4 linked regions of the Ovis aries genome follow. The protein of the gene in region 1 purifies or fractionates together with the protein of each later gene. This does not show direct contact. Links are inferred from orthologs where the notes say so. Each region holds a gene or a part of one and is shown in the gene's direction. Other genes may lie near its edges.

What was found.
Region 2: the proteins of NEURL4 (region 1) and CEP97 purify together in Homo sapiens (affinity purification with western blotting; 4 studies listed by BioGRID and IntAct, with this or other methods). This does not show direct contact. The link is inferred for Ovis aries from reciprocal best matches to the Homo sapiens genes NEURL4 and CEP97.
Region 3: the proteins of NEURL4 (region 1) and UBE3A purify together in Homo sapiens (affinity purification with mass spectrometry; 3 studies listed by BioGRID and IntAct, with this or other methods). This does not show direct contact. The link is inferred for Ovis aries from reciprocal best matches to the Homo sapiens genes NEURL4 and UBE3A.
Region 4: the proteins of NEURL4 (region 1) and ZNRD2 purify together in Homo sapiens (co-immunoprecipitation; 4 studies listed by BioGRID and IntAct, with this or other methods). This does not show direct contact. The link is inferred for Ovis aries from reciprocal best matches to the Homo sapiens genes NEURL4 and ZNRD2.

The regions. Positions count from the first base shown.
Region 1 is NC_056064.1:26,920,754-26,928,904, reverse strand, and holds the start of NEURL4 (neuralized-like protein 4), read left to right. Parts: upstream 1-3,613; 5' UTR 3,614-3,619; coding exon 3,620-3,907; intron 3,908-4,832; coding exon 4,833-5,277; intron 5,278-5,314; exon of another isoform or gene 5,315-5,471; coding exon 5,472-5,537; intron 5,538-5,680; coding exon 5,681-5,979; intron 5,980-6,152; coding exon 6,153-6,264; intron 6,265-6,352; coding exon 6,353-6,441; intron 6,442-7,173; coding exon 7,174-7,246; intron 7,247-7,392; coding exon 7,393-7,657; intron 7,658-7,877; coding exon 7,878-8,059; intron 8,060-8,151. Other genes in the region: uncharacterized protein LOC105607811, read right to left, coding at 1-77, 162-362, 1,067-1,152, 1,382-1,453, 1,553-1,660, 1,986-2,479. UniProt on the Homo sapiens protein: Promotes CCP110 ubiquitination and proteasome-dependent degradation. By counteracting accumulation of CP110, maintains normal centriolar homeostasis and preventing formation of ectopic microtubular organizing centers.
Region 2 is NC_056054.1:166,990,748-166,998,279, forward strand, and holds part of CEP97 (centrosomal protein of 97 kDa), read left to right. Parts: intron 1-1,523; coding exon 1,524-1,688; intron 1,689-2,582; coding exon 2,583-2,707; intron 2,708-3,367; coding exon 3,368-4,145; intron 4,146-7,446; coding exon 7,447-7,522; intron 7,523-7,532. UniProt on the Homo sapiens protein: Acts as a key negative regulator of ciliogenesis in collaboration with CCP110 by capping the mother centriole thereby preventing cilia formation. Required for recruitment of CCP110 to the centrosome.
Region 3 is NC_056071.1:1,625,911-1,633,442, reverse strand, and holds part of UBE3A (ubiquitin-protein ligase E3A), read left to right. Parts: intron 1-930; coding exon 931-1,075; intron 1,076-3,555; coding exon 3,556-3,761; intron 3,762-4,353; coding exon 4,354-4,518; intron 4,519-5,910; coding exon 5,911-6,066; intron 6,067-6,161; coding exon 6,162-6,235; intron 6,236-7,532. UniProt on the Homo sapiens protein: E3 ubiquitin-protein ligase which accepts ubiquitin from an E2 ubiquitin-conjugating enzyme in the form of a thioester and transfers it to its substrates.
Region 4 is NC_056074.1:40,192,914-40,200,076, forward strand, and holds ZNRD2 (protein ZNRD2), read left to right. Parts: upstream 1-3,518; 5' UTR 3,519-3,551; coding exon 3,552-3,818; intron 3,819-3,948; coding exon 3,949-4,033; intron 4,034-4,426; coding exon 4,427-4,770; 3' UTR 4,771-4,805; downstream 4,806-7,163. Other genes in the region: FAM89B (leucine repeat adapter protein 25), read left to right, coding at 5,669-5,968, 6,345-6,623. UniProt on the Homo sapiens protein: Might play a role in mitosis. Antigenic molecule. Could be a centromere-associated protein. May induce anti-centromere antibodies.

The DNA.
Region 1 (8,151 bases):
GGAGCTTCCCGTGTGGTCCAGCAGACGGACCTCAGTGCTCATGGGACTCTCGATCACCCAGTTCAAGTTTGTGGGGCCTGGAAGTGTCAGAGGACCAGGGTTGGCACACCCATCAGTCTGCTGGCCCTCCCGCTCCTGGGCTGACCCAGCTGAACTCTCACTGCTCTGCTGCTCATCTTCTGTGTCCTCCTCAAGCTCAGGGTGGGGCCAGCACCTCAGGTATCTTCCTTTGCTGTAATACTCCTTGCGCTGCAGATCAATTTCCTTCTCCAACACCACAGTGGCGGATGAAGTTGGGGACAGATTTCTGAAGGCAGGGGAAGCTGAGGAATCACCCAAATCAATCTGAGTCATAAGGGCACCTAGAGAATACAGGGCACCAGCTTCACTGTGACCCCTAAGCAGCCATGAGAAGCTCAAGCCTGAGGTTCTCATCTCACTTCTATCCCCTCCTCCCATTTTAGAAAAACATCAGTGACCTTTCCACCCCCTCAGAGTTCTGTGGGGCTTTCTGTTCCTCCTTCCCAGCCAGCCTTCCTTGGGGCCTGATGGGGACCCCACCCCAGCTGCCCTCTGTCTACCTTGGGGACAACAGCCAGCACGACTTCCCTCTTAGGCAGCAGGGCCCTGGGCTGACACCCACTGAGGAAGACAAGCTCTGGTGGAGAAGGTTCTGGACTACAATTCCCTTGGGTGTCTGGGACCCCCCCATAGCTAACCTTTGGCTTCTAGGATGTGGTTTCTGGCCACTAGGCCAATCTGGCCCTTGACTCCTCCAGTCATTCTTCCTGCCCCACCTCTTTCCACAGGCCTGGGCTCTGAGTCCAGCATCTCACTTCGACTGCCACTGCTCATACTCACACCACCCACACTGCTGTTCTTGCTGTTATCCAAGGGAGGGTTTTTCTGAGGTTTCAGGAACTTCCCTTCATTGTAGTGTGCCTTGCGGCGCTTTTCAAAATCATTGGATTCTGTGGGCCAGTGTCAGAGCATGGCTTTCCTGCCAGGCTCTCCGCTGAGCTCTCACTCCACCTCCCCTTCCACTTAACCCCACCCCTCATCTCACGTGTCTTGGAAAAGCTGTCTGAAGACCCCGAACTTCTGTTATCACTGTACAGGACCTTGGGGCAGACATTGTCCATTGCTGCAAACCTGAAAGGGAGGGAGACCAGCTGGAAGCACAGAGAGAACAAAAAATGGGAGCAGGTGGTAGCTGGGGCCAAGCTGGCAGACTCCCCGACCTTGGCCTGAGTGAGTCCTGGTCCAAATTGTAGTACCTCCCATTTGGAGAGCCAACAAGCAGAGCTGGCTCAGACCCTAGCTCAGGGGTGGAGGGGGCAGGAGGCCGCAGGTCCCTACTGACGGCTGGCAGGACTCTCACCTCTCTGCTAACTTCTCAGGAGTCATTGCGTGAGAGGTACCGGCAAGCAGGTCTTCATCGCTGTCTTGCAGCCTGCAAGGGAGGGAGGCAGCAGTGCCTCAGAGCAGGCAGCAGGCACTCCCCTTCTCCTTAGAGAGTAGGAGCTGAAGGGCTACAGCTGCAGACTCGCACCTGTGGAAGGGAGTGCTGGGCTCATCCACCTTCATAAAGCCATAGTTCTTGTCAGCAGGGTGGTAGGTCGCCAGGATATTCATTTCATCCCAGTGCTGAGACTTTCTCCTTCGGGTGAGGAAAGGATACAAAAAAAGGGGGAGGAAATCTCCTAATGCTCAGTCCTCCCTCACTCTTTCAGTCATTCAAAACTTTTTCCGACGTGTAGGAGGCTGAGGTGGGGTCACACTTGATGATAATCAAGTGCTATGTAATCAAGGGTTTATCCTATACCTGCCTCTCTCTCAAAGGCCAGGAACCTCGGATTCCCCACCCAATTACCCCCACTTACTCTCACTTACTCTCACTTTTAGTTCTTGGGACTCCACCCCCTTTCCCCTGCCTTGGTTTCCTCCTGTGTCTGGAATCCCTTTCTTCCTCCCCGGCTTCTTACCTCTCCGCCCGGGGGGATTTGTGCACCGTGATGGAGCTGCTGTTTTTTAGGATGCTCCGGGGCCGGTCCTCACAGGGTCTGTCTTGGCGCATGCAAGTTGACTCGGATATCGTAATGTTTGCCGAGTTGTACAACCCAGACGCCCCGGACCCCGGGTTGAACGTCCCGGATACACTGGTTCCAGGGAAGGGGGGATTAAATCCGTCAGGTTTTGTACGGGACCCAAAGCTGTGGCCCGCGACTTCCCCAGGATGCTGGTTGAGCCCGGTACCGAGGACTGCTGTCCCTCCGGAGGGCTGGCTAGAATCAGGACTGCGAATTATAGTTCCCCCATTGTGCGTGGAGGGCCCAGAACCGTGAAACATGGTTACTCCGGAGAGCAACCCGGCGCCTGACTCGACTCCTCCGATGCCTCCTGGCACCCCCCTGATACCCCCACCAGGGGATTCTCCATTGAGGCCGCCAGCAGCCCCCACACTTTCCTGCTTCTCCATGGCCCCACTAGGGGGCCACTCTCAGCTACCTCGCCCCGCCTCCCTGCTCCACATAGCCCCGCCCCAGGCCCCGCCCCCACTGCGGCTGGAGAGGGACGCTTGGGCGAGGCCTGGGTCCCCTCCCCCACCGCTCCCTGGAGCAGTGGGGGGCGGAATCAAAACTGTTTAGGGACCTCCGACTGGAAGCCTCTCAGGTTGCCCCTCCCTTTCTGTCCCACCCTAAAACCTTTCTTTGTCTTTGGGATTTGTTCCCGCCCTTCTCCCCCATCACCCTTATCCGAATTATCCAATCATAGTCATGGTCCCGGACGCCGTGCGAGAAACCTAATTGTGACGTCACACACAGTCCAACTGAAGCGTGAGCATCTAGGGAGTCTTGCTGGGGGGTTGTTGATAGCTCTGGGGGTGGCTGTCTTTGAGGGCTGTCAGCGTCGTTGCCTGAAACTACCTGCCAGGGTTCCTTTGGACTCTTTATTCGTGGCTTTAAAACCTAAGTTTGGTTGAACTAGAGTTCAAGATGGGCTTGTCTAGAAACATCGCGAACTCTTTTCGCCCCAAAATCCAGCCCGCTCTGTTTCTGCGGAGAAGTGGAGGGATTGCGACACTGTCGAAAGACATATCCGGTCTCAAGTGGTACGGAGTGTGACCCTCTTTATTTACAAAGCTACCTCTATGTGCTCAGGGCCCGCTCACACCGCTTCCGGGCGCTTGGAGCGAAGGAAAGCCCCCTGCCTCCTCCTGCCGTAAAGCGAATACTTCAAAGTGTTGCCTGTCCTCGACGAAGGCAGGGTCGTCGGTGTCGCAAAGCTGAAAGTGTTTGGGCACTACCCCTAAGTCGTAAAAGTGCCTGTGGCAGTCGTTTCTTCCACTGTCGCAAAAGCTCCCGGCCCGTCTTCGCCCCTCTGGAGCCACTCCGTCACCTCGCCCGTGCCGTAAAGCAAACCTGCCCGACTCTGTCGTCCTTTCTCTTCCCACCGTAGTAGTCCTTAGTTCCTTACTCCGGGATGCTTTATTGCCCGGCACTGCCGTAAAGCATATCTGGCCCCAGCCCCCGAGTCCTATTCCCCCAGGGCGTCTGTGCACCGCGGTTGCCACGGTGCCGCCAAGCGCGGCTGTCGCGCGGCCCCGGTGTCAGCGGCGATGGCGGCGGGGTCGGGTGGGAATGGGGGCTCCGGGGGAGGCCCCGGGCCGGGGCCGGGTGGGGGTGGGGGTGGTGGCCCCGGCGGGAGCGGCCCAGGGCCGGGGTCCGGCGGGGGTCTGGGCAGCGGCGGGGAGCTGCACCCGCGCACCGGGCGCTTGGTGAGCTTGTCGGCCTGTGGGCGTACAGCGCGGCGGCAGCAGCCAGGCCAGGAGTTTAACCACGGGCTGGTGTTGAGTCGGGAACCCTTGCGCGATGGACGCGTCTTCACCGTCCGCATCGACCGCAAGGTGCGGAGCTGGGGCCGCGGAAGCGAGATGTGGAGGGTGGTGGGAGGGGACCAGAAGGCGATGGGGGAGGACAGCTAGGGTAGCCCACATTACCGGATACCGAGAGGGAACCGCTAGCCAGAACACCAGGTGATGAGCAGGAAGGGAGCATGAAGCGGAAACATTAAGTCACAAAAATAGGAGGCAAGGAGAGCTTGATTTTTGTCAAGACTCAGGAGCATGGAAGGGACACGGGGCCCCACCCACTATAATGATTAAAGAACAATCCTCCTGGGATAATTTCTGGGAGACGGAGGATGGAGAGATGTCAGATATGTGATGGAAGGAGAAGAAAGATAACCAAGAAAAGAACAACCACTGAAGGACAAAAGCACACCGATAGGGACAGAAAGATGGGTGAGGAGAGATACTCAAAGCAAGAGATGTGTATGCCTGTGCGGTGATGCAGCGGAAATGCCAGGTGCACAGAGGTAGAATTTGGGAAGAGAGTGAGTTTGAGTGCAGCCAGAGCCTAGGAGAGAGGCCCAGAGAGAAAGAGCGAGCAATATACCAGCGAGTATGGAGAGCTGTGAATTTGACTGGTTGAGGAGCTACAGAGACCAGAGCAATTAGAGATGGCAGGAGCCTGGAGCCAGGGAATTTAACCAGCTTGGTGAGCCAGCGTGGGAAGAGCATGGGATCATAGACAGCGTGCACCCAGAGTACAGAAGAGAGTTGCTAACGGAGAGCAAGTCTAATCATTCCCTGAGACCAGAGTCCAGATAATACTTTGTGGGACTGGATCTCTGGATTGGGGATGTCTTGTATCTCAAGAGAGTAAAGCCCAGTTAGCTAAGAGGTGGGAAGAGGGGGACACAGTGGCCTATGAAGTGTGGGAGACCCATTCGTAGCCCACCCTGAGCCACTGTCCACTGCCCCATCACAGGTCAACTCCTGGAGTGGCTCCATTGAGATTGGGGTGACGGCACTGGACCCCAATGTGCTGGACTTCCCAAGCAGCGCCACAGGGCTGAAGGGAGGCTCGTGGGTAGTGTCGGGCTGCTCGGTGCTGAGGGATGGACGGTCTGTGCTGGAGGAGTATGGGCAGGACCTCGACCAGCTTGGCGAAGGGGACCGTGTGGGTGTGGAGCGCACGGCTGCCGGGGAGCTGCGGCTCTGGGTGAACGGGCGGGATTGCGGCGTGGCTGCCACGGGCCTTCCGGCTCGTGTCTGGGCCGTCGTGGACCTTTACGGCAAGTGCACCCAGATCACTGTGCTCCCCCCTGAGCCGGGCTTCAGCCCCCCTACTCCCAGCCCCACACCTCCCCTTGATCCCTCCGCCCCCCCTGAAGATTCTGCCTTGGCTGAACAAGGGACCTCTGGGGATGAAGGTGAGAATGAAGTTAGGGCAGTGGTGGGGGGACGGGGCAGACAGAATGGCTGAAGGAACGGGGGCGGGCAAGGCAATGACAAGTGAGGCTGGGTGTGGGCTGGGAGAACAGGGGCTAGTGGAGGGGTCTCCTGGCTGTGGTCCCTGCAGCAGGGGCTGAACCCTTATTCCCCTCCCATCCCACCTGGTCCCCAGCCTTCATGGTATCCCCAGCGCAGGCCCGACCGGAGACGTTTCCTAACAGCCTTGAGTCGCATAATGGTGAGGGTTCCTGGGAGGCCTGGGAAGGGGAGCGGGACATGAGGTGGACAGGGGGGGACCTCAGGAGAGGGGTAGGGAGAGCTTGGTGAGCCTGAGACTGAGAATACTCATTTCTGCTCCCTTCCTGTGTCCTGCTGTTGCAGACTTTGCCAGCATGGAGCTCTCCGAGGTGGTGAGCAATGCCATCCTGTCTGCGTACAACGGGGGGCTCCTGAATGTGAACCTGAGCTCCCCCCCAGCAGAGGAAGCACCAGGGCCTAGCGGTGCTGCCACCTCACCCATTGTCACCTCCAACGATGCTCTCCTTTTCCATGAGAAGTGTGGAACCCTCATCAAGCTCAGCAACAACAATAAGACTGCTGAGCGCCGCCGGCCCCTGGATGAATTCAACAACGGGGTTGTCATGACCAACCGCCCACTCCGGGACAATGAGATGTTTGAGGTGTGCAAGGTGTTGGGGCCTGGCCAGCGTCTCACCCTCTGGGAGCTAGAGATGGGGCTCAATCCCCAATGCTAGCAAAGGGTGGAGGTGGCCTAGGGAAGCTCAAAGGGCGGAGAGACTTTTTTCTCTGAGTTTACATTTCCCCTCTCCCTTCCACTGTCATTCCACCCAAGATCCGCATCGATAAGCTCGTAGATAAGTGGTCAGGCTCCATTGAGATTGGTGTCACCACCCACAACCCCAACAATCTGGAGTACCCAGCCACCATGACCAACCTGCAGTCAGGTACCAGCCCCTGGCATGGTGGGGGCGTGGCCTTTGGTCACTGAGGTGCAGGGAGCCCATACCCTAACCAAAATGTCTGCTTTCCCAGGCACCATCATGATGAGTGGCTGTGGGATCCTGACCAATGGCAAGGGCACCCGCCGGGAGTACTGTGAATTCAGCCTGGATGAGCTGCAGGTGAGGGTGGACACAGTGCCGGCCTCTCTCCAGGGGCACCCCTGTATATACCGAGCAGTCCTCCCTGGGCCCCATATTCTCTGATCTGGAGCAAGGCCCTTTATCTTTTGTCTGAAGGGTCCTTCTGAGAAGGGCTTCCCTGGTGGCTCAAATGATAGTCTGCCTGCAAAGCAGGAGACCTGGGTTTGATCCCTGGTTTGGGAAGATCCCCTGGAGATGGGAACGGATACCTGCTCCAGTATTCTGGCCTGGAGAATTCCATGGACAGAGGAGCCTGGCAGGCTACAGTCCGTGGGGTCACAAAGAGTTGGACACAAATGATTGACTTTCACTTTTCCTTCTGAGAAGGCAGGGTTGCCCAACTGTTAAGCACTCAGATTTTGCAGTCAGATGGGTTGCATTCTTCTTTCAATTTGGCCTTTGGTGGTGGTGACCTGTGGCCAGAAGCTCATCTTTTTGGGTAGTTTTTTTTCCTTAATGTCTGAAAATGAGCCTGTTAGTACTATTTGATAGAGTGCCGTGAAGGTTGAGCTGGTGTTGATAAGATAGTTTAACATAGTGCCTGACTTGCCTTGAACATTCAGAGTGGTCTGGGATGCATGGGAACCAGTTGTTCCCCTGTCGCATCGGTTGATGGGAAGGCTGGAGGACTACTCTGTTCTCAGTGTCCAGGACAAGTCTGGACCTCAGCTGTTGAAAGATTCCAGGTTTTTATTTTTCTGCTTTGAATAGGAGGGTGACCACATTGGTCTCACGAGGAAGTCCAACTCTGCCCTACACTTCTTCATTAATGGCATTGATCAGGGTAAGGAGAAGCTCAGAGAGGGTGGCTGGGCCAGGGCTTTCACTGAGGGGGGTCTGTGTCATTCTCCCTTTATTGATTCTTCTCCCCTCATCCCATACACAATGAGGCCATCATTCCTCCATTCCCTGTGCCTTCCACTCCTGCAGGTGTGGCGACCCCCTTGACGCCCCCAGTGGTGTACGGTGTGGTGGACTTGTATGGAATGGCTGTGAAGGTGACCATCGTCCACAATAACAACCACAGTGACCGCCTTCGCCGGAACAATGCCATCCTGCGGGCTCTGTCCCCTGAGGGTGCTCTCCGCCGGGCTGCTCCTACAACCCAGGCAGAACCTGAGCGCCTGCTCTTCCACCCCAACTGTGGGCAGAAGGCAGCCATCACCCACGAGGGACGCACTGCCCTGAGGCCCCAGTATGGCCCATGGGGTGGGGAGAAGCCTGCGGAGGGGCTATGAGGGGATTGGGGGAGGGGTGGGCAAGTGGGAGGCAGTGGGAGTCTGGTTGGGGGGCCTCCTGGAATGCGGACCGTGGGTGCTTGACTTGGGCAGTGGGTGTCGGCTGGGTATTGCAGTGCTGAGCTTTGGAGCAGTGTGTTGGGGGGGGATCTGAGTCCCCACTTGCCATGCCCTCAGTGCCACCGACGACTTCAATCATGGCGTGGTGCTGAGCAGCAGAGCCCTGCGGGACGGAGAGGTGTTCCAGGTGCGCATCGACAAGATGGTGGACAAGTGGGCTGGCTCCATTGAGATTGGCGTCACCACCCACAACCCTGCCTACCTCCAGTTGCCCTCCACCATGACCAACTTGCGCTCTGGTGAGCTCCCAGGAAGGGCAGGGCCAGGATAAGATGCTAGAGGGGATGCCGTCCCTGTTTTCCAGACCTTTGACTTGTCAGGTTTGTGATGA
Region 2 (7,532 bases), on another chromosome or scaffold:
TATGTTTAATTTTGATGGCTATGTAGAGCAATTGGCACTCTCATTAACTGTTCTAGGAGTATAAATTGTGCGCCACTTTGAAAAACTGACAGTACTGAATTTAAACATATAAATACCCTATGACTTAACAATTTGACTCTGCTATATACCCTAGAGAAATAGGAACTTATGTATGCTGGAAAAAATGCGTAAGCATGTTCATAGCAGCCTTATTCATAATCACTCCAAACATAATCACTCCAGCCTATTTCGTAATCACTCCAATTTGGGAGCTATGTGGGACGTTTGAGAAATGTCAGTCTGTAAAGAAATAAATACAATACTGTTATCACATCTCAAAAAATTTAACAATAATTCCTTAATAACACCAAATATTAAGTGTTTATGTTTAGTCCTCGTAAATGCAGTTTTTAAATAGAATTTTGGAAACTGGTTCCAAATAAGGCCATACAATGTAATTACTTGATGTATTTAAAATATATCTTTCTTGTTCTCTTTTTCAGTATCTTAAAAGTTTACTGTTTATTGCATGCTGCATGGGTTGGCTGTGCTGATTTGGTCATTTTCACTTGGGGTCTTGTGGTGTGATCACAGTCAGGGCTGGAGTCATTTGAAAGGTCAGCTTGGCTAGAGGTCCAAGATGATGCTTTCAGATCTCTCTGTGGGCCCCCTGTCTCTCTGCTTTGCTTTCTTTTCTCTTTTTGGTTATTGAAGAAATCAAATTCTTTGTCCTACAGAGTTTCCTACTGTGCTTATTTTGCCAATTGCTGCGTCCCCATGTGCTTTGACATACTCTCCTCTTTTGTGTTTTCTGTAAATGGGTAGTTGGAGGTGGAGGTTTGATCAGATTTTTGTGGGGTCAAGAACAGCTTTTTGGGTCCTGTTGAGAGGCACATGGTATCTGGTTGTCTCTTATGTTATGAGAAGCTGTTAACGGTCAGTGCCTAAATCCATTAATTCATTGAGAGTTGCAAAATGGTGAAATTTTAATTCTATAATTCATTTTTAAATAAGCTGGAATACTTCTGTGGAGTAACTATTTGGTTACTCATTGGTATAGTTTGTATAGGAAAAATGGAATTAATAATATTTAATTCTCCCCCTTTATCAGTTTTTAAAGATGATGAGATGGTAGCTCACTAGCATCCTTCAACTGTGACCAGTTGGCTTTAAAAAAACTATCATTATGAACTAGTGAATTTAAACACAGTTTATGTATTTAGGTACTTCAGTTTGACAGTGAATGGAGGGAATACTTATTGCTTCTTTGAAGATAATTTTAAAATATTTGGAACCATTTAGTACAAATCATTGGAAGTGCCCCTAAGCAAGAAAAAATGTTTAAACCATAACAAGAATAAGGAGAGTAAAGCAGAGGATAATTTTTCTTTTTAACTGAAATGTTATTCATGAAAAACATCTAGTGATGCTGGAAAGGCATATTAAGAAGGAAGATCATTACTGCCTGAAAATGTATCTTGTCTACCCCAGTGCCAGCCCTTCTTTCTGTCCCCCAATTCCAGTTTAAAAGCTGAATGGCTATATAGTCAAGGCAAGGGGAGAGCGTATCGGCCTGGCCAGCACATCCAGCTTGTCCAGTATCTGGCTACAGTCTGTCCTCTCACTTCTACGCTGGGCCTTCAAACTGCAGAGGATGCCAAGCTAGAGAAGATTCTGAGCAAGCAGAGGTGAGCGCATTTATCTGTAGCGGCTGATGCAACTTTCCTGCAGAGTTAGCAGGATTGGAGAGAGTGCTGCAGCCACATTTCTGGACCCCTGGGGCCCTGGTCACCACAGTGGGCTTTCAGAGGAGCCAAACCACGCAGTGCAATCTGGTTTCCTCCCCAGTAGCTGCATTGCTTACTAGTCATTTCCTGAGTGGGGAGAGCCTAGCAGCCTGGCAGCCTGGGATTTAAAATAACTTCATTTGTTCTTTTAATGTGGGTGTTTTACATGGGCTTTAAAATACTAACATTATAGAGACTTCCCTGGTGGTCCAGTGGTTAAGTATCCGCCTGGCAATGCAGGAGTCATAGGTTCGATTCCTGGTCCCGGAAGATGGCGCATGCTGTGGAGCAGCTAAGCTTGTGCACCACAGCTGCTGAGCCCGAGCTCTAGAGCCCGAGCTTTGCAAGAGAGAGGCCACTGGCAGTGAGAAGCCTGTACACCAGAACAAAGAGTAGCTCCCGCTCACCACAGCTGGAGAAAGCCCATGCACAGCAACAGAGACCCAACGCAGGCAAAACCAAATAATAAATAAAGCTTTTAGAAAAAACGTAAAAAGAAAACTAACGTTATATATACTAGAAGCATTTTTAGTAGTCACGTCTTTCATCAGAGATCCTGTCTTTGAAGGTTTGTGTGTGTATATTTATGATGGTGTCTGACTGTGATTTAAAAATAAATTTCTTAACATTTTCTATCCATGAGACTTTGTAATTTTGAGGTCATTAAAGGTATGTACTCTGAAAACTTGTAAACTTCTCCCTTCTTGACATTGTTACCTGGCGAATTGTTGAAGGAAGCAGAGAAGCTTTCTTTTTTTGATTTGTGTGAAATCACATAGGGTATTCTGATTTTAGATTTCACCAGAGGCAGTTAATGAACCAGAGCCACAATGAAGAGTCGTCTCCTGTTGAATCAAGGGCATCATTTGTGCCAGAGCATTCCAGCCCCATTCAAGATGGCCAGGTAGTCCCAGAAAGCGGTAAGAAGTTAACTGATCTCCGGTCCTTTTTTGTTTGATCTATTTGGTATCATAAAACAGGAAACAGTACATATTTTCAGAATGTTTTACTTGTTAGCTCAAGTGAACATTTGGATCTTTTATTTTATTACATATGTATATTACACAAATGGCAGCTTCCCTTTTGTCTCAGTGATAAAGAATCCACCTGCCAATGCAGGAGATGTGGATTCAACCCCTGGGTCAGGAAGATCCCCTAAAGAAGGAAATGGCAACCCACTCCAGTATTCTTGCCTGGAAAATTTCATGGACAGAGGAGCTTGGCATGCTGTACAATCCATGGGGTCATGTCGCAAAAGAGTCAAACACGACTTAGTGGCTCAACAACAATATACACAGACATCTATAACTATTAAATGTCTTAATTTTCGAAAACATTCAGAGGACTGCCACCTTTTGACTTGACCTAGTACTTTGATTATTTTTATGATTATTGCAAGAATTTAGTTTCTTAAAAATATTTGGTTTGATATTTTAAGGCATTTTGGAGGAAATTACTGAAATAATTTCATTGCCTTTTACTATATTTGAGGGATTAAATTTCATTAAAGGGATACAACTGAAAAAAAATCCCTCCGTAAATATTTAATGTTTCCAGTGACATTCTGTTGATTCTTTTAGAACCTGTCATCCAAGTCAATTCTTGGGTTGGGATAAGCAGTCATGATGACCAATCACATGCTGTTAAGAATAACTTTCCAACCTCTGTACACACTGCAAGATATTCTCGAAATGACCTGCACCTGGAAGACATCCAGACCGATGAGGACAAGTTAAATTGCAGTCTCCTCTCTTCAGAGTCTACTTTTATGCCAGTTGCATCAGGACTCTCTCCAGTATCACCTACAGTGGAGCTGAGGCTGCAAGGCATTAACTTGAGCCTAGAAGATGATGCTGCTGCAGATGAATCTGTGAAAGGGCCAGAAAACCAGAGCTTATCAAACAAGGAAGAGGAAAAGGCTTTGGGGGCTGCAAATGAGAATTCTGTTCAGATGACAAAAAGTGCAGTTGGTACAGAGGTAAATGAGAAAGATGGACTGTTAGCTTGTCCTGAGCCAACAGTCACCAGTGCTGGCTTGAAGGATCACACCCACAGTCTTACATCTTTTCCTGAGTCAGTTGGACACAATGTCTTCCATATGCAGCCAGACAGTGAAGAAGCCAGGTCTCAAATAGCTTCAGAGAAGCTTCCCTGCAGGCTGTTAACCCAGAAATCTGTTCCGTTGGGACAAGATAAAGTTGCCCTCCAGAAACTGAATGAAGCAGCCACCAAGCTTCAGGCCTGTTGGCGGGGCTTTTATGCCAGGAACTACAACCCACAAGCTAGAGATGTGCGCTATGAAATCCGTCTTCGCAGGATGCAAGAACACATTGTCTGCCTAACTGGTGAAATAAGGAGGTGGGTGAGAAGTCCGTTTTAAGGCTTTTACTGTGAAGATGCTGTTTTGTTGGTTTGGGGGTGTCAGATTCTTAGCTTTGATTCAGAACACTGAATCAAACTCTAGTGTCTGGGACACTTTCCATACCATGTTGCCACTCTAGGTTTGTCTCTGACACTGTACTGAAAGCAGCTTGAGAGCAAGGACTGCAATACGTGCCTCCGTATCTAGTGCTGAGATTGGAATATAGATGCAGCATAGCAGTAAATGTTGGATGAAATGCATGCCTTATGGACGTCTATGTACCTAAACACAGAAGATACAGAAAATATAGAAAAACTGAATGAGTATAAAAGTGAGACGATGAGGAAGTCTACATAGAACCCAGTAGATGACATAAGAATTAAGGAAAACAGTAGGGACTTAGAAGGGGTTAAAATTTGGTGGCTATGGTGGAAGTTATGTGTTCATTCTCTGGCTTACATGTTTTCATGACTGTCACCCAGGGAAATTAGGATTTCATAGATTTATTCTGAGTATCAGGACTGCACCTGTCAGTATTTACTGGGATTAGCAAGTGGGAGAGGAGGAAGAGTAAAAGGGACTGAGAAGGGACAGCCAGAGAGGGAGGAGAACTGGGAGAGAGTGTGTCCCAGCTCCAGCAGGGCCATGTTTCAAGAGAGAAGAGAGGTGCTGTAACAGGACCGAGAACTGTATACCAGATTCAGCAACTGGCAGTGACTGTGTGTTGAAGGTCCCCAAAACTATGCCCAGGTTTGATTTGTAAAAAGGACTCTTGACTCAAAAAAGCTATTCTTTATGATTATGTTTATTAGAGTGAAAGGATATAGATTACAGTCAGCAAAGGAAGAAGACACACAGGGCAAACTTCTGGAGAGACCAAGTTCCAGCTTCTAGTTGTCTTCTTCCAGTGCAGTTTTATAGGTGGGGCTCAATTCTTGGAGCAACAATGAGTGAAAACACATGAAGTATTGCCAACCACGGAGCTTCCTCAAGCCTTGGCATCTGGGATTTTTATTGGCGGACAGTCACCTAACCTAGGTCAGTCCATATGACTGACCTTAACTACTCAGACCTCAGCCGCCACCCAAGGTCAAACCAATAACATTGTAGCCCAGGGTCTCAGGTGAACCAAACTGGTATTCACCATAAAGCACATTGTTAGCATAAACCAAGGTCTCAGAGGTACAAAGGTGCTCTAATCAGGCAGGATATTCCAAAGGTTTAGAGGTTATCTCTCAGAAGCTGGTCAAGGCCAGTCCTGTCTTTAGGATGTTTGAGTTTGAACATTTCAGTCCTGCTAAGTTAACCCTTTCCTGCCCAGTGAACTTCCTAAGAGTAGCTTCAGGGGGTAGTGGGATGAAGTCAGTTTGGAAAGGACTGAATAGTGAAAGAGAGGTGAAGAGTGAGCACAACCAGCTTTGGATGAGTGTTGCTGTGAGGAGGAGAAGGGAGCAGGTGGTTGCCAGAGGAGAATCTGGAATTAAGAAGATGGGAGATACAGAGGAGGTTTATGTGTTGGTGGAAATGATTCAATAAGGAAGGAAAAACTGATGGCGCAGAGCAATGAAAGAAGTGCAGGGCAGAAGTTCTTGAGAAGGTGAGAGAAGAGGTTCGGTGCACAAGCGGAGGGAGTGAGGTAGGAGCAGGGCCGGGTAAGGTGGTAGGTATTGATGGTGGGGGATGCGGAAGTCCTGTCTGATGGGTGCTTCTCTTTTTTCAGTAATATACAAGATGTGGTCAGCACTTGGAAAGGAGTGGGTGAGGATGTGAGATGAGAGGCTGAAGAAGAGAGGTGTGAAGTATGGAGTGTTTATCTTAAAAGTGAACTTACAAAGGGAATGGAGAATTGCTGGATAGTATGAGGAAAAACTGAAACGTGTGAAGCAATAAGTGAAACTGTGATTTTTATCAGCAGCTCTCAGCTGTTCTATTCTGATTTTGGACCCAGTTCAGCCAGGAGTGGGTTTTTTTCCCAGGTGAATATGGTAGGGGAGAGAGGGAAGATCAAGGGAGCTGAAGACTTTTTGAAGGGAGATGATTATAGTGATAGATCTTGGAATTTAAATGAGGTAAAAGGAAAGACAGGAGAAAGACATCATTTGAATGGTGGTCATAGATGAGGATTGGGTATCCAGGTTGTTGCAGATTGTGTCAAGAACAAGTGAACTGAGAGGTTTGTGTTGGTGCTTGAAATCATTTTTTTTAAATGGTGTAGTCAAAATACTTGAGTCTAGAGTGGAGACTGACATGACTTAGCAATTACACCGCCACTACTGCCAGAGTGGGACTGAAGATGATTGTTAGATAGAGCATCCATGTGAATGTCAAGGGCTCCAGAAATGACCAGGGCCACAGGGCAGAGAAGAATACTAGTGCTGAGGGTTCAGTGAATGGGGGCCGATAGTGAGAGCTCAGTACTTGAAAAAGAGTTTGGGGAAATTTAGCAGGATGGCTGGAGTTTTTGCAGGAGGAAGGTTAAGAATCATTTGTAAACAGCAGTGGAAGCAGTGTTCTGACCCTGATGTATAAGTGAAAAAAATAGCTGCTACTTGAGAGGGCTACAGGGCCCTTGGAAGTGCGTCTGATTTGGTCAAGGAAGAGTTCAGAGAAGAATCTGAGTGTATATATGGGGGTTTGCTGATTATAATTCAGAAGTCCTACATTGTGCAGTAAGAAGGCTTGAGGGGCTAGAGAAAGTAGGTCAGAGTTTCAGAACAAAACGGGGTGACAGTTTAAGAGATACTGGACAGCTAAGGGAACCGTAGGTCTGTGATAAGTTTTAAGTATGGAAGGGGGACAGTGAGCCCACAGTGAAACTTTAATGAATGAGGGGAAGTTATGCACAGGGAAGTCTGTTGATGATAGCAAGGAGTATGTCAGGACCTGGAGCAAACAGGGATGTGAAATTTGATGGGATTAATCCTGCTGGTCTCTTCAAAGAGGAGACCATTCTCTTCTTCTCTTTGAAGCTGTGATTCTGATCCTTTCTGCTGCTCTTGCTCCTTCTGTGTGTTTGGCTGCAAAATTGAGGCCAGATAAAAAAAAGCCATTTAATATTTTATTTTTCAGTACTAGCAATACTTTGTAGAATCAGTATAATCTGAATTTCAGTCACATCTAATTTGGCTTCTATGTTGAGTCATAGTTTAAAACTAAAGTTTCACTTAGATATTCTAAAAGTGGAAAGCACTTATATTTTATTAATCTCTTTACAATGTATATGTTTATTTGTCATAATGAGAAGTACAATTCAAAGCACCCTTTCTTGTGTCAGTAATGGACTTCGAACTATTGTAGATTAAGAAAAGAAAGAGATGAAGAACGGATTCAAAAATTTGTTCAAGAAGAGGCTGTCAGATTCCTCTGGAACCAGGTAAGCCCCT
Region 3 (7,532 bases), on another chromosome or scaffold:
CTTACTCTGATGATGTTTGCCTTGCTCAAAACCATTTTAAAGATTCTTGTAGTAGTTGCAAAAATCTGAATACCCTTATTCTGTTTTGACAAATTTAAAATCACTTTGCAAATAAGATGGATGATGAGTCAGGCATGCTATTAGTAAATTACAGATAAGACAAATTGCAGTGTAAATGTTTCACATTAGAATATGGTGTTGATTTTCTGATTAACTTCATAATAACAGAGAGCAATCACTATTATTTGATAGATACAAAAGGCATTTGATAAAGATTTATAGTTGAAGAAATGTTGAAACTAGGATTTGATAACTGTTAGTAAGAAGAGTAAGGATATCAGCAAAAATAATGCCTCATCTGCTTTCAAAAAAGTGAATATAAAATGTTTCTAATCCATTAAAATGGTAATTTATACTAAAGTATTATTAAGAGACCATAAACTGCTTCCCTAAATTATTTTTCTTGATTGAAATTATTTTATTTATGATTTAATAGATAGACTTAATTCTTGAGTTTCTATTCTAATAAAGAATTAAAAGTCAACAGTTTTGAAGTCAACTTCTACGCGCCTTTGTTTCTCCTGAAATAATTTGAGGCATTTTTGCTATCTTGACTTCTTTCCCCATTTCCTAATCTTAAAACCCAGGTTTGTTATATACAAAATTAACAGGAAATCTAATTCTAATTTCATATCAAATCACTAGTTAAAAAGTAACCCTTTTAGAATTCTATGCCAGTTTCTTTTGTATCCTATTTTTCCATTATCTGTGAGACAATCTTTGCCTTACTGGCTTTTTACCAGTTTGCTTCCTGTTTCCATTTAAAATATATCAAAAGCATTATCTTTTATTTGCTCCTGCCCCTACAATTTATTTTGTTTTCATCCTAATACTGGCTTTCATCTTCTTTCCACTTTTTCCACTCACTAGCTAGAGATGATCGCTATGGAAAATCCTGCAGACTTGAAGAAACAGTTGTATGTGGAATTTGAAGGAGAACAAGGAGTTGATGAGGGAGGTGTTTCCAAAGAATTTTTTCAGCTGGTTGTGGAGGAAATCTTCAATCCAGATATTGGTAAATATTTTAGTGATGTGATCATGGTATCATATCTTTTTGAATTAAGAATTTATTTACTAGATTTACAAATATTTTCAGTTATGAAGAGCAACAGAAGATTTTGGTATGAGGTAACTAGAATCACAGATAATGACTGAATTTGTGGGCTTTTGGGATTGATCCTGCATCACTCATTCATTCAAGTTCTTATTTAGATTACTTAGTAACATATTTTAATATAGGAAATTATCTCTTAGATAAAAGAAATTGAAGACATTTTAGAATGATACATTAGAACAGTTGAAGAAATGTTTTGCTCTTTTTCAGTCTAAAATACTCATCACCCATAGCATTTCTGAGACAAGAGTTTTATAGAATAATGGTCTGAAGACTTGAGAATGTCTCACAAGTGTATCGTGCTCAAAATTTGGGTGTACTGATTGATAGCAGATTAATTTGGTTTATTTCCTACAGCATTTCTTGGGTTTAATATTATAATATTTTCCCACACGGAACTCCAGAACCCTTTTTCCATCCCACATCTAGTAGCTTTTGCTTTCCAGAAGAGTTTTCATTGAACATGATTTGGGAGAGATTGATCTATAGTATGTCAGTCTGAAAATGAATTTGGGTTTCACTGATAGACAAAATAATTTGGATAATTCTGATCTGATTTAATTTCTACAGTATAAACCTTGGTTACTGGGGTTGCTTACTTTTAAAATCGAATGCATGACAATTAGAGGAAAAGAAGTCCTCTAAAGGTACCATCATAATTGTGAAGAACGTGGCATAGAATAATGCACATCATTTCCTGTTGATTCTCAGTGTGTACACTGAATTGACTTTTCTATATTTGTTGTTAGTCTGCTTATAAATGGAAGTAGACATTTTGACTTCATGACATAAACATAGTTAAGGTAAGACTTAGTATTTTAGCTAATGTTTTTTAATAATCTGAAGACTATGTCATTTATATATAATTTGCTCAAAGTAAACTTAGATGTATAAATCTGTGCTGTTTTTGAGATAGAAAATTAATTTATAAGCTTCATTAAAAACCATGGTGTTTGTGAGATATGAAGCTTTTAAATTAATTTTCTATCTTTGGTGAACTTTAGCTCTAGGTCTTTATGTATCTAAAAATGTTAAACATTAGTTACAAAGTATATTTACATTATATGCAGAAATACTTTTAAGAAAAAACATACATGAAACAATTTTGCTTGATAGTAAATCAGTTAAAATGATGACAATAGAAATACCAAAAAGGAATATTTTAGAAGAGCCACCCTTTATGGAGCTTTTCTTAACTGTTCTGATCCAGTTAATACCATATTTGTAATTAAATGAAGTTTTTAGCACTTCACTAGATTTGTAATTTCAGCCTGTAAAAAAAAGTTGGATATAAACTGAGATTCAAGTATAAATTAGGTAATTTATAAAATTTTGTTTCGTGAACATTAAGTTGCATTAGAAAAATGTCTTAAATTCATGTTCTTAGGATCAAGGGGACCCTTTAAACTTCCCTTTATATTTAAATTCAACTAAATGTGAAAATTAAACATTTTAAAAACTGTTTAAAAAACTTAAAAACTGGTTGATTTCTTTAAAAAATGTTGATTTTTAAAGTTTATTCTATTGGAACTTCCCTCTCTTTCCTAGATCTAATTCTTGAAATATTTTCATTTAGTTTCACAGTAGCAACTACAAAACATTTTATAGTAAAATGAAATTGTTAAGTCAATTAAAATATCATTTTACATTTATCTTAGATATTTCTTTACAAGGAAAGAGATAAGTCTACCATGGTAATGGCTATTTAATTACTATTTTTAAATGAGTGATATAAATAGTGAAGACCATGTGAAATTAAAAGAAGACTACAAATTAGTTTTGTTTTACTTTTTGGCTCACAGTTAATGTGTATATTAAATGGCTTTGGTTTTGGGCATAAGTTTATCAAGTTTGCCTGAGTTTAAGTACTTGGTATCTTTGTTAAAAAGGTGCTTGAAAAACTTCATGGAACCATTATGCAATTTGGAGGAAAAAGACTTTTTCTTAATGAAATTCAAAATTGTTTTTTAAAGCAATGCATGTGGATTAAATATGTTTTAATAAGTGGAACATTTTCAAAATATGATTCTTTTTTCTTTTGCGTTTTTCAACCATTCAGTGGTAAAAATATGAATGCAAGTTAACTTCTGATTCATGTTAATAGAAGATTAGAGAACTTGAATTTAATGAACAGTTTTCCTAACTTAGAAAATGCCAACAGAATGGCTTATTACTTTAAATATATGCTATACAATTTGTAGCATTCATATGTACTGGAACTTTGTTTTCGTAAGTCCTGACATAACAGAAAAAAGCCCTAATGCAAATAAGTTTACATGTGTAATTATTTTATATTTATTTTTGTATTTTATATGTATAATTATTTGTTCATCTGTAATAAAATATGAAAGTAATGCATTTAAAAAAATCATTTCTTACAGGTATGTTCACATATGATGAATCTACAAAGTTGTTTTGGTTTAATCCATCCTCTTTTGAAACTGAGGGTCAGTTCACTCTGATTGGCATAGTACTGGGTTTGGCTATTTACAATAACTGTATACTGGATGTACATTTTCCCATGGTTGTCTACAGGAAGCTAATGGGGAAAAAAGGAACTTTTCTTGACTTGGGAGACTCTCATCCTGTAAGTCTTGTCATTTTTTATTCTTTTAGATTTTATTTAAAAGCAAATACAGAATTTAATTTATATAAAATTTTTAAAGCTTTGATTTGAAATCTTTGTTAATATTTATACCTAGTGAGATAAACTTGTTTTATTATCTATCTGAAATGCCATAAACACTTAAAAACTTGAAGGAGAACTTGTTACAAGCAAGTCAGCTTTACAAGGTTGATTCTGTAGAAAAGTGTTTCTAATTTTTTTTTTTAATGGAATCATGAGATTGCTGGGTTGAGTCAGAGCTGCCCTTAGTCAGTGGCTCTGGTGGCTGCAGCTAGCCCCCCCCTTACCCTTGAGATGCCTCTAAGGGTCTCGGTAGAGCACAGTGTGAGACCCATAGCTAAGTAGCTGGTGTGGGGTTTCTCAGCAGAGGGACGCGTTAACCACTGACTGACTGACTTTCTTTATGTCTGCATAGAAACTACTAGAAGAGGGGTACTGTTTGTGGTTTAATTCTTACTGTTAGTTTTTTGAATCTTTTCCCAAGAAGAGTGATACAGATTGTTGTATTTTATAGTTGTGTGGTAACCTTAATTTTTCCTTTTCTGATTGGTAGGTTCTGTATCAGAGTTTAAAAGACTTATTGGAGTATGAAGGGAATGTGGAAGATGATATGATGATCACTTTCCAGATATCTCAGACAGATCTTTTTGGTAATCCGATGATGTATGATCTAAAGGAAAATGGTGATAAAATTCCAATTACCAATGAAAACAGAAAGGTAATAAATGTTTTTATGTCATCCTTGTCTTTGTCTCTTTAATAACAGAATTTTAAAGCGTATATGTGTGCGTTTGTGCGTGCACTGCTTCAGTTGTGTCCCACTCTGTGAGACCCTATGGCCTGCAGCCCAGCAGGCTCCTCTGTCCATGGGATTCTCCAAGCAAGAACACTGGAGTGGGCTGCCACGCCCTCCTCCAGGGAAAGCACATACACTTGTAGTTTTTAAGGAAGTTTCTAATGTCAGCTCTACAAAGAAATCAAGTAACTAAGTTCTTTTTCATTAAATGAAATAGCCACAGTTCTTTAAACCTTGACTAAAGGCTGGTATGAGAGCACGTGGTTGGGCACTGAACTCCTCCTGGAGAGAGAGGCCCCGAGTGGGCGACAGTGCACAGATGTGGGTGGCTGTGGGTAAAGCAGGAAGAAGGCTGTCTCTCATATTAAGCTGTAGAGGGGTAGGAAACAAGGAGGGTCCTTATAACCAAATGGTCAATAATTGCTTCTAATGCACATACAAATACACGTGCCTTAAATAAACATCTGAAAAGTACTAAAGAATAAATATTTTAAAGAAATCAGTTTTGTGTTTTCTGTTGACTAGAAAAGTATGCATCTGGAAATGGGAATTATGATATATATAAAGTCTTTAAAAACAATGTTTATATTAATACAATTTTTGATAAAATATTAGTTAACTTGGGATACAGAGTTTATTTTCCTTTTTTTATTTGGTACAATAGCTTGCTCACCAAGTGAAACACTGATATTTTTGTTGAAACAGATAACGGTAGGCAGCTTCCCAAATATTCTAGAATAGGAAACATGAAAGACTTCCTTATTTGCTCATTTCCAGTACATTGCACTCTTATTAAAAATGTCAGCTTTTATAAATTTATGTATAAATGGTTTAAATGTTTTTGCATTTGCATAACCTAATTGAGAGAACTTTAAAATTGTATCAAGGCCCAGCTTTTGTTTAATATCGAAGTTGAAACTTATATGTGTGTGGCCTCTTTAGTGGCTCAGAGTGTAAAGAATCTGCCTGCATTGCGGGAGACCTAGGTTCAGTTTCTGGGTCAGGAAGATCCCCTGGAGAAGGGAATGGTGACCCACTTCAGTATTCCTGCTGGAGAATCCCATGGACAGAGGAGCCTGGCCAGATACAGTCCATGGGATCACAGAGTTGGACATGACTGAGTAACTAACACTTTGTCTATCATAGAGAGCTGTGAAATCGTTAAAGGTATTTTCCTTTGTGTGTGTAAAATATTTTTTAAAATATTCTTGATTGTGTTTTCTTTGGGAAAATAAAAATATGATGCAGTCCAGTAGCTTGTATTTTGTTGTATTACGCATCATAAGACCTTCTTGTGGTTAATGTTTTCTGCAGGAATTTGTCAATCTGTATTCTGACTACATTCTCAATAAATCAGTAGAAAAACAGTTCAAGGCTTTTCGGAGAGGTTTTCATATGGTGACCAATGAATCTCCTTTAAAGTACTTATTCAGACCAGAGGAAATTGAATTGCTTATATGTGGAAGCCGGGTAAGAAAGCAAGGGTTTCCAGAAAAATCTTCTGTTGATCTTTTGTTTGTAATGGTGTGGTGTAGATGTTAAGATGTGTTTTCTTGAATTTGCAGAATCTAGATTTCCAAGCACTAGAAGAAACTACAGAATATGACGGTGGCTATACCAGGGACTCTGTTGTGATTAGGTGAGGTTCTTAATTCTTTTTTTTTTTAGTAAACATTGCTTTATATTTTTATTTTATTTTATTTTTTTTTTTATGCTTTCCACTTTGCTTTCCTCTTCTGCTTTTATTTTATTTTATTTTTTTTAAATTTTAAAATCTTTAATTCTTACATGCATTCCCAAACATGAACACCCCTCCCACCTCCCTCCCCATAACATCTTTCTGGGTCATCCCCATGCACCAGCCCCAAGCATGCTGCATCCTGCGTCAGACATAGACTGGCGATTCAATTCACATGATAGTATACATGTTAGAATGTCATTCTCCCAAATCATCCCACCCTCTCCCTCTCCCTCTGTGTCCAAAAGTCCGTTATACCCATCTGTGTCTCTTTCCCTGTCTTGCATACAGGGTCGTCATTGCCATCTTCCTAAATTCCATATATATGTGTTAGTATACTGTATTGGTGTTTTTCTTTCTGGCTTACTTCACTCTGTATAATCGGCTCCAGTTTCATCCATCTCATCAGAACTGATTCAAATGAATTCTTTTTAACGGCTGAGTAATACTCCATTGTGTATATGTACCACAGCTTTCTTATCCATTCATATGCTGATGGACATCTAGGTTGTTTCCATGTCCTGGCTATTATAAACAGTGCTGCGATGAACATTGGGGTACATGTGTCTCTTTCAATTCTGGTTTCCTCGGTGTGTATGCCCAGAAGTGGGATTGCTGGGTCATAAGGTAGTTCTATTTGCAATTTTTAAGGAATCTCCACACTGTTCTCCATAGTGGCTGTACTAGTTTGCATTCCCACCAACAGTGTAGGAGGGTTCCCTTTTCTCCACACCCTCTCCAGCATTTATTGCTTGCAGATTTTTGGATCGCAGCCATTCTGACTGGTGTGAAGTGGTACCTCATTGTGGTTTTGATTTGCATTTCTCTAATAATGAGTGATGTTGAGCATCTTTTCATGTGTTTGTTAGCCATCCGTATGTCTTCTTTGGAGAAATGTCTATTTAGTTCTTTGGCCCATTTTTTGATTGGGTCGTTTATTTTTCTGGAGTTGAGCTGCAGAAGTTGCTTGTATATTTTTGAGATTAGTTGTTTGTCAGTTGCTTCATTTGCTATTATTTTCTCCCATTCAGATGGCTGTCTTTTCACCTTGCTTATATTTTCCTTTGTTGTGCAGAAGCTTTTAATTTTAATTAGATCCCATTTGTTTATTTTTGCTTTTATTTCCAGCATTCTGGGAGGTGGATCATAGAGGATCCTGCTATGATTTATGTCTGAGAGTGTTTTGCCTATGTTCTCC
Region 4 (7,163 bases), on another chromosome or scaffold:
TTGGGTACGCTGTGTTTTCATTAATATCAAAGTAGTTTCTAACTTCCTGTGTGATTTCTTCTATGACCCATCAGTTATTCAAGAAGGTGTTAATGTCCACATATTTGTGAATTTCCCAAATTTCCTTGTTATTGATTGCTAATTTCATTCCAATGTGATCTGAGAACATATTTTGTATGATTTTAACCCTTTTGAAAAAGTGTATTCAGGCCCCTCCCTGGTTGTCCAATGGGTAAGAGTCTGCCTTGCAGTGCAGGGGGCTCAGGTTTGATCCCTGGTTCAGGGGACTAAGGTCCCACACGCTGCAGAGCAGCTAAGCCCCACACCACACTGGAGAATCTCAGGGCCACAATGAAAGATCCCATGTGCTACAGCTAAGACCTAATACAGCTGAATAAACAAATACAAATTTAAAATAAGTATATTAAGACTTGTTTTATGGTCTAACTTACAATCTATCCTGGAGAATGTTCCAAGTATATTTAAGAATATGACTTCTGCTGTTGTTGGCAAGAGTGCTTTATAGATGTATGTCAGGACTTGGACTTGACAGCTGTGATTTTTCTTTTAAAGGAGACTGCCTTAATAGGGGGTATTTCTGTCCCACTGTCATAATAACATGTTATTTCTGCCTTGTTTTAATAGAAGGACTAGGATTCTAGCTGGAGCCGATCACAAGAATTTATCTAGATTTCTTTCACTGTAGCAGTACTATAAACTTAAACAATAGGAGCCCAAGCAGTAATCATTGCCTCATCTGTAGCTTCCTATGAGAGTTTGTCTGTCTCAAGGAAATTCCCCTAAGAGGGACAAAACTCCCTTATAGCAGCCAGGACCCACTTCGGGGTGCGGGGTGGGGATGGAGGAGCTGAGACCTTTTATTGTCATCTCAGAATGGATTTAAGATTGGCATGATAGACTGTAGAAAGGGCTGAGCTGTAAGATGGCCCAGCTGTTGCCATTCTATCTTACCAAGTATCACTTGCCCTACCCCTTATCTCCCAAGTGAGCCAGCAAAGTTCTAGTGATTCATCTACTTGTTTTTGTCCATAGCAGTAGTGAATTTCTGTGAGAAATTCCCAACCCCACCCAGAAGAGAGGAATTGTCATGAGGAATAAATGAAGGGAGTAAATGGGAGGGTCTTAGTTGAGGCCAGGTCGGATAAGCTGTCAAGTGGAAATCGGTCATTATGATGACACAGAAGGATGCATCGAGGAATCTAGGGGTAAGGAGGAGCTGAGAGCTGAAGATAGTAAGGACCTGGAGGGACTGTGCATATAGGCTTTAGAGTCCAAAAGTCCCTCTAGTCAGTTTGGCAGAACCAACCTGGCGTCAGACCCTGACTCAGGTACACTGCTGCCCAAGAGCCTGCTGGTAGTTGGACAGAGTGACTGGGGGCCCAGGGCTCTCCAAGGAAGCAGGAGGCAGCAGGTGTCCAAAAATGGAAGGTCCAGGGAGTCTATGTAGGAGGAAGATGGGGCCACGAGGAGGGCACTCCAGCTGCAGGTAAAACTGAAAGCACATTCCGCCAGTCAGAGACAGACTGCTTAGGTGACTGTGGGAGTCTAAGTCCTTGTGCCTCCACTTCCCTGGAATATAGCCTTGAGGCACTGCAGGCTGCACGTCGGGGGGACTGCTGCTGCTCCACCTGGCTTCTCCAAACCTACTAAGGGAGAGAATGTGTATGGGGTAAAAAAAGAGAGGGAGAAAACAAACAAAAAAACCCACTGGGGCCAATGTTTAGGAAGCCCGAGTTATTTTAACAGCAACCCACTGAAGAAGAGCATTACGGTCATGTGTGTGCTCAGTCATGTCTGACTCTTTGCGACCCCACAGTCTGTAGTTTACCAGGCTCTTCTGTCCGTGGGATTTTTCAGGCAAGAATCCTGGAGTGGATTGTCATTTCCTCCTTTATGGGATTTACCCCACCTAGAGACCGAATCCCAGAGAAGGCAATGGCACCCCACTCCAGTACTCTTGCCTGGAAACTCCCATGGACGGAGGAGCCTGGTAGGCTATACAGTCCATGGAGTCAGACACGACTGAGCGACTTCACTTTCACTTTTCACTTTCATGCATTGGAGAAGGAAATGGCAACCCACTCCAGTGTTCTTGCCTGGAGAATCCCAGGGACCGGGGAGCCTGGTGGGCTGCCGTCATTGGGGTCGCACAGAGTCAGTCACGACTGAAACGACTTAGCAGCAGCGGCAGCAGGGATCGAATCTGCTCTGTGTTGCCTGAAGATTCTTTACCACTTCACCACCTGGAACCCCCAAAAGGGTCACAGGCACGCATAATAAACCCCTCACCCCCACTCTCCAGCATGCAGCTGGTACCGAAACAGCACATGTCCAGCACAGCGATTGCCACCATCACCCCACCCGACCTCCGCCTCCATTAGCTGGCTTTTTGAGCGCGCCAACGTCAACAAAATAAAAAACCTGCTTAGGCGCTGACTTTGCATCAGTCCCAGGCCTTTGGATGGGGATGGAGGGGGTAGTGGGGTGGGCACACTGGAACACTGAACATGCAGAAGGGGAGGGGTCTTGAAATAAGCTGGAAGGTATAGACTTTGCAGACAAAGGTCCGTATGTATAGTCAAAGCTATGGTTTTCCCATAGTCACGTAGGGATATGAGAGCTGGATCACAAAAAAGGCTAAGCGCGGAAGAATTGATGCTTTTGAACTGTGGTCCTTTGGACAGCAAGGAGACCAAACCATTTAATCCTAAAGGAGATCAACCCTGAATATTCATTGGAAGAACTGATGCTGAAGCTCCAATACTTTGGCCACCTGATGCGAAAAGGCGACTCATTCGAAAAGACCCTGATGTCGGGAAAATATTGAAAGCAAAAGGAGAAGCGGGCAACAGAGCATGAGATGGTTGGACGGCATCACTGACTCAATGGACATGAGTTTCAGCAAACTCTGGGAGATAGTGAAGGACAGGGGAGCCTAGCGTGCTGCAGTCCCTGGGGTCCTAGAGTTGGACACGACTTGGCGACTGAACAACTGACGGGGAGAACTTTCGTTGCCTGGCCTGCTTTGCCAATTGAATGGCGAACGAGTGAGGCCCGAGGACGCTCCACGCACGCGGAAGGGGCCGTTTGTTATTATCAAGAGTGGTGTTGCGATGATGCCAACCGCCCCGCCTGTCCCGGATCCTGCCAGTGCGGAAAGGGAAACACCAGGGAGGCGGAGGCCAGCGGAGATTTCTCAAGCCAAGCGATCCCCTCCAACTGCGGCGGGAAGAGCGACCCTGCACTGTCACTTTCGGGTCCAGAGACCTGAGTGGCATTATCAGAGAGACGCCCCTCCTGACGCCCAGCCAGTCGAAAAGTTTTTGTCCACAGAATCCCACCGCGGGGCGTGCCAGTGGGACAGGGTCCAGACTGCAGCAGACACGCCCCACTCTGGGCATCGCGACGTCGGAGGAGCAGAGAGAGCGTCATTTCCGCCCTCACTCTCGGCCCGACAGGGAAGGGCGGGGAAGCAGAAGGCGCGCTGCTTGTGCGTCACTTCCGGTGAGTCTAGCGGCGACAACGGCAACATGGCCCTAAACGGCGCTGGTGAGGCCATGGATTGTGGGGGCCTGTGGCTTCGTGGTTCGGGCGGCACCTTGCTTCAGCAAGACCTTCCGGCCCCTTGTGCCTCTCTTCCCCCAGAAGTCGACGACTTTTCCTGGGAGCCCCCGACCGAAGCGGAGACGAAGGTGCTGCAAGCGCGGCGGGAGCGACAGGATCGCATCTCCCGGCTCATGGGCGACTACCTGCTGCGTGGTTACCGCATGCTGGGCGAGACCTGTGCTGACTGCGGGGTGAGGAGATACTCGGGACGTGGGATCCAGGCTGGGGCCGCGGACCAGGCCGCACGGCCCTTTCCCCTTCTCTCCCCTCTGAACCCCGTCGCCGGTCTCACCCCTGCTCCCTGTGCTTTCTGGCCCCTAGACGATCCTCCTCCAAGACAAACAGCGGAAAATCTACTGCGTGGCTTGTCAGGAGCTCGATTCAGACGTGGATAAAGATAACCCGGGTGAGGGGTCGAGGGTGCTTAGTGATAGAGACTCAGGAACAGTAGTTGGGAGGTGAGAGTGGTAGTTGTGGGTGGGGCAAGGGTGAGTTGCGTTCTCCTTTCTCCTAGAAACGGCCATTCACTCAGTAAGAGCACTAAGCACCTACTGTGTGCCAGACACCTGAGCCTGAGCTTATTAGGCATAGTTCTGATGAGAGAAGGCCTTATGCTCTTTAAGCAAGGGCGTAAATACCTCTGATACAAAAAAGAAAATGGATGTGTTCTCTTATACTGGGGCAGGGAATACATCTCAAGTACAGAGAGAGCAGAACAGTGAAGGGTAGGGGAAGTGTCTTAGGGCTGATGTGGGGCCAGGTATATCCTGATCATTCCACTGGCTTTCTCCTTTTTTAGCTCTGAATGCCCAGGCTGCCCTCTCCCAAGCTCGGGAGCACCAGCTCGCCTCTGCCTCGGAGCCCCCCTTGAGCTCTCGGCCTGCCCCTCAGCCGCCAGTACCCCGTCCTGAACACTGTGAGGGAGCTGCAGCAGGGCTTAAGGCAGTCCAGGGGCCACCCCCTCCTGCTGTGCTTCCAAATGCAGATGTGGTGGCCTGCACACAGGAGGCTCTCCTGCAGAAGCTGACCTGGGCCTCAGCTGAGCTGGGCTCTAGCACCTCCCTGGAGACTAGCATCCAGCTGTGTAGCCTTATCCGGGCGTGTGCTGAAGCCCTGCGTAGTCTGAAGCAGCTGCAACACTAAAAAACCTCTCCTGAGAAAAACCCTGTAGAAAAACAGCTGTTCCTCTTGTGTGGTTCGTTCTTTTTTTTGGTTCTGAGTGTGCATGCAAGTCCCAGCTCCACTCGTCTTTTCCCTGCTTTTGGTCTTTCATGGTATCACAGTCTGGTCTCCTTGATGCCCTGAGAAATGAGTGGGGTTTGTTTCTGCTCAGTATCCCCACTCAAAGGATGAGGTGGCAGAGGACTATGTGCTATTTTTTCTTTTTTTCTGGTGAGGAGGCCCCAACCTCAAAAGCAGAAACAGGAGGCGTGGATCTCTGAAGGAATCCTGGAACCTCCCCAGCCATCCAGCGCTATTCCCCACCCTTGAGAGAGATTTGGGGTTCCAGTCCCCTCGGTAGCTTCCCTTTCTTCCCCCAAGCATCCAGACACCATCATCCTGTCCCACCTCAGGCCCAGACCAGGTACCCAGATACTGACAGGATGTAGTCAGATAGGGATCAAGGATGGTCTTAATCTGTCTCCTGACCACACCCCACCCCCTTTAGATCCTTTTCCTTGAGAGTTGTAATTGGCCGGAATAAACAGTGTTGGGGAGGGGGAGGAACCGCACCCTCCGCTTTTAACCTCTTCCCTCCTTTTTACCTGCTTCCCTTCTATCGGTGGCCAATGCCCTTTTCTCTGGTCTCCTGGGGCAACGTGGGCGCACAGAGCTGTTGCCCTTTTAAGACAGGCCCCGCCCACGCGGAGGGGGTGGGGCAGGGGCGGAGTCGGAGGAGTCCGGGTGGGAACAAAGCGCGGCCTGCGGGCGGCGGCTGGGCTCTGGTGGCGGGGCCGCGGGGTGCGGGGCCCGCGGGCGGTGGCCCGGGCGGAGCGTTGGCGAAAAAGAGGCGGCATCATCCTCTGGTACCCGCCCGGCCATGAATGGGCTGCCTTCTGCCGAGGCGCCGAGCGGCGCGGGCTGCGCCCTGGCTGGTCTCCCGCCGTTACCGCGCGGCCTCAGCGGTCTTCTCAACGCGAGCGGGGGCTCGTGGAGAGAGCTAGAGCGCGTCTACAGTCAGCGCAGCCGCATCCACGATGAGCTGAGCCGAGCCGCCCGCGTCCCGGACGGGCCCCGCCAAGCCACCGGCGCCGCCAACGCGGGAACTGCCGCGGGTACTCCTGGCTCACGTCGCCCTGTCAACCTCGACTCGGCGCTAGCGGCGCTGCGCAAGGAAATGGTGAGTAGCTGGGCCTCGGTCAGCTAGGCGTTGGGGGGCGACGGGGCAGCCACCAAGCTCGAGAGTCCAGGCGCGTTCGGGGCGGGGTCCACAGGCAACGCGGTCTGGGTCTAGAGGAACGACAGAAAGAAGCCAGTTGGGTTAGAGGGGATACGGTAATAATTATAGCTATGTTTATTGGCGATAGTTACCATGTATTTTTAAATGCTTTACTAGTGTTCTTTCCATTCTGCTGTCTTGTCCCTGTCCTGCAGATAGGGGTTACTGACTTGCCTAAAGATTCAAAGCTGTCCACAGAAACCTGTGCTTGGGAAGAATGGCATGGGCGGAGGGGTGGCTGGCACTCCAACCCCAGCCCACTTTCAGTCTTTTGCAGGTGGGCCTGCGGCAGCTGGACATGTCCCTGCTGTGCCAGCTGTGGGGCCTGTATGAGTCGATCCAGGACTATAAGCACCTGTGCCAAGACTTGAGCCTGTGCCAGGACCTGTCGTCCTCCCTGCACTCAGACAGCTCCTACCCACCCGACGCTGGCCTGTCTGATGACGAGGAGCCTCCAGATGCTAGCCTGCCCCCAGACCCGCCACCCCTCACTGTGCCCCAGACACACAATGTCCGGGACCAGTGGCTGCAGGATGCCTTCCACATCAGCCTCTGAGAGCTGGGAGGGTGGGGGCACGCACCCACGAAAAAGGCTCAGAAACTCACCCCTCAGCAAGTACTCGGACTGTGGTGCCTGCTTTCCCCCATACCACCTCACCTCACAGGAGGGCAGGGTCTGGGCCCCACGGAGGCAAAGCTGCCCACCCTCTCATGTCTTGGATTAGCTGGCACTGGGGCGGGTACCTGGGCTATAGCCTCTGCCCATGGCACTGGTCCTCCACTTATCCCACCTGTGGGACCTCCAGCGTGGCCGACCTTCAGTCCGGCAGTGGGGTCCAAAGCACTTCCCTTGGCATCTCTGGGACTGGGATTGAGTGGCCTGGCTCCTGTCTCTTCACCTTCGCTGCTGTTGGCAGCTCCTGGCTCAGGGGCATCCCACCTCTGGCCCCTGGGTTCCACTGCCCTAGACAGGGGCTCTCCAGGACCCATTCCTGCACCATCCAAGGTCAGGAGGGCCAAGGCTTCGTGCTGGATATTTAAGTTTAGGGGTCAGCCTCTTTGGCTTATAGATAAATAAACACTGTCTCAGCATTGG